Drosophila melanogaster: one gene and its partner. The protein of the gene in region 1 interacts with the protein of each later gene in a pairwise test. Each region holds a gene or a part of one and is shown in the gene's direction. Other genes may lie near its edges.

Region 1 (3,760 bases):
TTTTTTTTTTTGGCAAATTCAATCTTACTCGAGATGGCAGGCCAAAAGGAGGAGATCTTGTGCTGTGACTTTGAGGTGCGTGGCAGGGTGCCCAAGGATGCTTTCGAGCTGTTTGCACTGGTCCAGGCCAATGCACTGGGACTGCGGGGATTCATTGCCCAGGTGTCGGAGGAGAAGTTCAAGGGTCGTCTGGAGGGCGAGGGCAAGGTGATCGATGCCTTTAAGAAGCTCATCCTGGCCGCCGCCGATTACGTGCAGGCCATCAAGGAGTTCATTATTAAGAATCTGAAAGTCATCCAGGAATACACCTACAAGACCTTCGAAATCAAGGTGAACCTAAAGTGATTAAAGGATCAAACAAAATAAAATATTTCCAATGCATAATTTTGTTTAAAACGGCTATCAAAAGTTTTATCCATTATGATTTGTCTAATATTTTTGTTGTATGGATATAACAAGGTATTTTCCAAATAAAAATTACACAGTTATATAATCACAAATTCAAAAGAGTTTCCTAAAGAGCTGATTTATACAACAAGCAATTTCCCAAAGAGAAGAACCTGTATGAAAATGCCAAACTTTTCATGGGCTCATTGTGGATTGAATGATTATTGTTGCGATTGCTGGATCTGGGCAATTCTCCAAATGACCCATGGATTCTCACTTACGAGTACTCCATCGTTGGTTCTAGGACCCATTGCGATCGTGACGAATGAGCTAATGATGTCCATGATCCGTGGGAGGGGATAACCTTGTGGCCATCGCCGCCGGCGATCGGATATCAAATCGAATCGCATGCCTCGGATGCATATACTCGTAGTAAGCTAGCGATGTTCCCGGCTGTTTGGCATGCAAATCGAAGAATCTGATCGCCACCTCGATCGACACGATGAAGGTGTACCACTGGACAACAGCGAACATATAGCCACGGATGGTTATTTATGCGTTCGCGGATACAACTGCCGATTCACTGAGTTCCAGACTTCTCAACCAAATAGCACTGGTTAACAGGCCAGTGAGAAGTGGTAGATTTGAAGTTTAGTTTTTCTATATTAAGAAGATCATCTTAGTCGGCTAAGCACAAAACGTTACCATCTCAACACTGCACATCGGGGGGAATTATCAAAGTGTTCTTTTGTAGGCCAGTGTCGTGTATCTGCAGTGATATATGGACAGCTAAACTATCTTGGCTCAAGCAACGTTACAATTTTATGGGTCAATTTGCGGACGGCCATTACTAGAATTTGTGTGTGTGTGTGTGTGTGCAACAGGTAGCCAAGTGTGTTTTACACAGAGGAAATTAAAAAATCCTTGGTATAAAAATCCTTCCTCCTGAGAAATCTTAAGGTTCAAATATATTCCAGTGAAGAAACTAACCAAATATTAAATACTATTAAATTTTAAATACTATACTATTAAATATCAAATACTATTAAATATTTTAAAGAATTATCTGTAAGTAATACAATTTTCTCGCTGTGTATCTATGAATGTAAGCAATGAACCTATATGCGAAAAGCCACAAAATTGAGGGAAATTAACCTAGGCGGCGACTGCGACTTGGACTAATGCGGTTGCCGCGAACATATATGTTTATACATATGTTTGAATCCCAAGTCTGGATCCGAATCGGTATCCAAAATCAGAATTAGCCGCTTAATTGCAGCGCTGTGGCAACGCCAGCAAACCGGAAAGAACGGCGACAATGATTGCCAATCCGATTCGCAAGCAATCAGTGCTGACTGTACGTCATAACACCAATAGAAGCATAATTAGTATAATTATAAGTTATAAAAAGTAAAGAGTATGAGAAACAGCTACTACATTTAGTACACAATACATTGATCTTTTGGAAAATATGCTTATGAAAGTGATTGAATCCTTAGCCAACAAGTTAAATAACTGCATGAATCTCTAAAGTACAAGTTATATTCTTCAATTTTCAAGTAATTCGTACACATAAACGTTTGCAATCGAATGAGAATGTCATTTCGAAGATGACTCTTTTTTTTATAAGCTTTTGAAAAAAGCTAAGCTCTCATCTCTGATCGCCGGCGCGCCGCAGTCGCGTCGCAGTCGCCGTTCGCTGCTTCCAATTCCGACGCTCTGCAGCTCAGTTTGCTTTGAGCGCTGGAACGCGAAAGTCGTCGACGGAGGGCCAACGTTGCGGATGAAAGTTTCGAAGCGAACTGGGAAGATTTTTGAAAAGCGCAGGCGTGCAACGGTTTTTTTTTTTTAGTTTTTCTTTTTTTTTTTTGGGGGGGTTTGGGCTACGCTTCGCGGCGAGCGGTGAATGGCAGCCTTTTTTTCGAGTGTGGTGGCTGAGTGCAATTCAAAACGCATTTCGTGCATAATTTGTGGAATTTTACGCGTTGTAAAATCAATTTCATTGTGCAAATTTGAAAACTTGCCTGCTTTCCGTTGGCTTTCAGCGGCAACAGCTGAAATATAATGCAGCCACATCAAGCGGGCAAGCAATAAACAAATATCAAAAAAAAAAAAAAAACCAAGAAAATTTACAAAATATAAAAACACACACATTTGAAGAGTCAACAACAGCGATTACAAGGCACTAAAAACCAAAGGAAGAGGTGAGCAAATATTTCCATTCATTTGTTATTCTTTCGTTGGGCTTAAAATATTTTCGTATTTTTTTTTTCTTGTTGCTGTCTGATTTTTCGTTTATTTTGGTTTCGCTGATTTTTTTAATTCGAATGGAGTACACAGAAAATAATAGAATATGTTGAAAATTGTAAGATTTAAACATAATAATATATTTATTATGTGGCATTTGAAATTGAAAACGTGCTAAAATCAATTTGAATTCGACCTGCCTAGCTTGATTAGAACAAAGTAGTACATGCTCTTTTCGCACAGTGTGCCTATCCCAGCTGGCTCACACACACACAGGCACACGCACAACCTCTTTAAAGTTGTCGCTGTTGTTGTTGTCCTCATTTATCTGGACTCAAAGAGCTGAAGTTCGGAGTCGCGGACTCAAAAACTCTGAGCCGTCGTCTTCGATTATTGAGCCGTTTGACTTTTTCCCAACTGCCAGCGAACCTGTTGGCCCCACAGGCAAAAAACAAAAACTACAGCGAAAATATATACGAAACTGGTGAAAAAAGTAGATATATATACATATATATATATATATATATGAAAAAAAAAGATGAAAAAGATGCTCTGGTCAGCCTCTAGAAATAAGCAAGTATCTGTCTTTGAGCTCTTTTCTCTTCTCAATCTTTTGCTTTTTTGCTTTTTTTTTACACTCGTAAAGCCCATAAAGTGCCGCATATACTTGACCTATCCGAAACTGCGGGTTCTACCCGGGGGGAATGGATAATGGATAATGGATAATGGATAATGGATAATGGTCGCCGAAGTGGCCGAGTTGCTTACTGGGTTGGGTTGGCCAGTTGCACTTGGCCTTAAATCGCTTTATTTTACCTGGAAAATCTCTAATTCGTTCCGACGGAATTCAGCGATTTTATGTTGAAATGTCAAGTGCAGAAAAATAAAGTGGTTCTAATAAATATGCAAGTGAAATACATAGATCACTAACAATCCCCTAGATACCTCTTAAAAAACGATCTTTATTTTAAATATACTCATATATAAAGTTTATGAATATCCTTAGTGAATGCAGTAAACAGAAGGCAATATAATATGTTTTTGTAAGTGAAATACTACTTATTTAGAATAATATTCTATAATATATTTGACAAAGACCTGATTTTTTGTTCACTGTGCAATCTGC
Region 2 (3,760 bases), on another chromosome or scaffold:
ATATTGTACTGGTTTCAGTGCTTCTGGGCCTTGGGAGCTTGCTTTGAAGTGGTCCTAGCACTGGTTGTGTATCCCTATTACGGATGGCGAGGTCTCTTGGCCCTTTCGGCTACACCCCTACTCATTTTTACCATCCTATCGCCGGTTCGTATTCCTCGCTCTCTTCAGAAATATCCTTAATCAAATGTATCTTTAAATCACTACAGTGGCTCAGTGAATCGGCTCGCTATTACTCTTACAACGGTCACAATGATAAGGCCATCAAGGTTCTGGAACAGGTGAGTGGTAACTTTATGGAGTGATTATACGTCTAAAAACCTACGATTGTAGATAGCTCACAACAACAAGCGCCACATGCTGATGGGTCGGCTGATGGCCGACGACGAGCCCAGTTGCGCGGAGAGCTTTAGATCCCTGCTCAGCCCGAGCCTGTACAGGACCACCATCCTGTTGTGGTTCCTCTGGCTGGCCTCGGCCTTTTGCTACTACGGCCTGGTGCTGGTCACGACCGAGCTGCTGGTGGCCAGGAACAAGGAGAGCCATCCCAATGAGTGCGTCACCTTCATGACCTCCGACTTTATGGACCTGCTGTGGATCACCCTGTCCGAGTTTCCTGGAATACTGCTGACCATCAAGGTGGTCAAGCTGTTTGGCAAGAAGAAAACCATTGTTCTGCAGTACCTGGCGCTGGTTCTGTGCACTCTGGTGCTGATGTCGGTGGAAAGGTAGTAGTGGTGCACACTCAATTGATCATCTGATAATCAATCCAATCCTCCTCCAATCCTAGTCGCTTCTCCACTTCCGTAACCCTCTTCATTGCACGCGGCACGATATCCGGCATCTTCCAGGCCATTTATGTGTACACTCCGGAAATATACCCAGCTGCCTTGAGATCCGTCGGAGTTTCGGGCTGTTCCGTGCTGGCCAGACTCGGCGCCATGCTGACCCCTTTCGTGGCGCAGGTGCTGATGGACTCGTCCAGAATTCAGGCCATGTCCACGTACGCAATCGTGGGCCTGCTGGCCTCCATAGCCTGCGTCTTTCTGCCCAGGGAAACTGTTGGCTACCACTGAGTGCACTGATTACCATAACTTATTATCTATAACTACTATTAAACCCATTAGTCCCTAGAAGCTGTGTGAATGTTTCATTCGGATTGCCTAGTTTTAGGCTTAGCGGGCTAGTAGTAATCTAAAAAGTCTAGAATAGATTAAGATGCTTCTAACAAGTAACAAAGCTCCTAAAGGGAAAGCTCTAGTCTAGCATTGGCATAAATACTCAGTTGAAGGAGGTGTTACTACTAACTACCCGTTTGTGTTGGTCTAATTGGTGACTAATCTCAACTTTGTAGGCCAATTTCCTCTTATTTATGATTACATTGCTGACAGGTGACAGGAGGAAGTGCAGTTGCAAATTAATTAAACAAGCCAATATTTCTGACCATAAACATTGCGAATAACGTATGGGATCGTATAAATAACTTCGTGCCCGCGCATATATTATAATACTTAATTAAATATGTATGCTGGCGCACTCTGGGTGCCGAAATCTATATGCACTCCTCTGACAGCCATAAACTTTCAGACCGTCCGCTCTGTTCGGCATCTAAGCACATGGCTATGCACATGCAGATGCAGATGCAGATGCAAATGCAGATGCAAATGCAAATGCATTTGCAGATACTGATGGGGATGCGGATGGCGAGTGCGAGGTGCATGGGCATGGGCATTATTTTTAAATTGTGAAACGATGTTCGAGGGGAGCTTTTGTTGTGATCGGCGAATATCGATCAGTCGTACAGTTGTCGGGATGCAGTTAGAATCATTGGTATCCGCACGCAGTAGCCAATATTTCTCACGCGACCGCAGTTTAAATTTAAATCTATTCCACTTTTGAATCGGCCTGGCCCGCGGAAAGGCGGAAAATTCCTCGACTTTTTCAGTTATGACAAGCGAACTCGAGAGTGCCCCGTAGACTAGTCTTCGTAGTTTTCGATACTGGGCTAATGCCGATAATGCCTTAAATCCAGTGCAAATCCAGTGCATTGAAAATTCGAAACGAAATCGCCCCAGTAATAAGTTATGCAATACATTTTCGAATTCGTGCCAATGTGCGTGAGTTAATCAAGTGTGTGAAGTCGAGTTAATCGAGTGATACAAAGTCTTAATATTCAAATCAGCCGGAATGGATGCCGTAAGTTATGCGTGTCCGGAAAATACACTATAGATCGGTCTCTATGAACATGTGCCAAATTTACTTATTAATACTTCTGGGCAAACCAGATGTACATATGTACATACATTGTGTGAGCAAAAGCTACAGTGGACGTCCTTGCTAGGAAATAGCACTTAGTCAATGGTTTTTTCCAACTGCAAAATGTGAATGTAAACTGGTTAACCAGCTAGTGACGAATAAAAGTGCAATTTTATTTAGTTTAGTTTGAGTGCTTCAAGATGATGATACTAGTGACCTTAAAACCGAAGGACCCTAATAGTATCTTATACTCGGTGCACAGATATTTTCCTCTCGAAAGTGAAAGCCACCTCTGACGCGAAGTGGGTTAGGATCCATCTTGTGGTTCCACTGTGGTTCCACTGTGGTCTCGGATCATTGGCCCGAAGTGAAGAGCCCTGTTCGAGGGAACAAATCGGGGGATCAGCTGATTCGGCTGCACAAGCTTTGCACTCAGTAAAATTGGACATCGGAATAAATAGCCGAGCCCGCGTGTCTATGTCAACGCAAAATAGACTTTCAGCTAGCGGGCTAAATATTGCTCAGCCACTTTTGTTTGTGAAATAGCGAAGTCGAACGCGTCAAAAGATCAAATCGATATCGCACCAATTGCATAAACCCTAAAAAAACTCACAGATCTATAACGATCTATTTGGGATATATGTACATATATTTTTGTGTTGAAGTATCGAAATGGGTGATAGAAATGTGTGTGTGAACCAAGAGAGTAGCTATAGAAAAGAAAGTTCGTACTTAAGATATCGGTTCTACCCAGCAGGTGGCGGATATCGTGTTTGTGAGTCGGGACTACCAGGCTCAGTCGCTGGCCACGGACGAGATCAGCGTTTCTCGCGGGGATCTGGTCGAACTGATAAGTTCGAAGGCATCCGAAAAGTCAAGGTGAGCGATTGAGTTCATCGAGAAGTGGTATGGTACTCTAGTGCAGTGAGTTTTCCAGATGCTTTGTGCGAATGTTCGATAGCGGGGACTCCCCCAAGGAAGGCTGGGTGCCCATCGATATACTAGAGTTCAATCCCACCATGAGCAGTTCGAATGGCAAGGAGAGCGGCGATGCGGAGTTTAGGAAACTGTAAGGACTTCAACTCACTCCATCCAGTTGGACAGATAGATACTAGTTGTAATGGCCGTTGTAGAACCATTCTCAGGGAGCTGGTGGAAACTGAGGAGGAGTTCTCCAGGGATCTGCTCCACGTGGTGGAGAAGTACATCAAGGGCATCGACAAGCCGGTGGTGCCGCGCTCCGTGCGGGACAACAAGGATATCATATTCTGCAATTTCCTGCAAATCGCCGAGTTTCACAACAAGTAAGAAGCGAATGGGGTGAACTGGAGTACACGAAGTTAACACTTGGATTTTCAGCGTGCTGAAGGAGGGCCTCAAGTGCTACAGCAACCAGCCGAATATGGTGGCCAAGACCTTCCTGCGCCTGGAGCGGGACTTCGACAAGCATGTGGTGTACTGCCAGAACGAACCATTGGCCCAGGACTACCTGGGCTCCAGTCCCGAT

What was found.
Region 2: the proteins of CG15365 (region 1) and Obsc interact in a two-hybrid assay, tested with the Drosophila melanogaster proteins (one large-scale study listed by BioGRID).

The regions. Positions count from the first base shown.
Region 1 is NC_004354.4:9,066,339-9,070,098, reverse strand, and holds the start of CG15365 (uncharacterized protein), read left to right. Parts: upstream 1-2,115; 5' UTR 2,116-2,591; intron 2,592-3,760. Other genes in the region: CG10970 (uncharacterized protein), read left to right, coding at 34-345.
Region 2 is NT_033778.4:24,012,286-24,016,045, reverse strand, and holds the start of Obsc (obscurin), read left to right. Parts: upstream 1-1,791; 5' UTR 1,792-2,184; coding exon 2,185-2,193; intron 2,194-3,007; coding exon of another isoform or gene 3,008-3,010; coding exon 3,011-3,132; intron 3,133-3,190; coding exon 3,191-3,322; intron 3,323-3,386; coding exon 3,387-3,557; intron 3,558-3,612; coding exon 3,613-3,760. Other genes in the region: CG4324 (uncharacterized protein), read left to right, coding at 19-144, 207-278, 331-725, 788-1,073. UniProt on the Drosophila melanogaster protein: Structural component of the muscle M line which is involved in assembly and organization of sarcomere.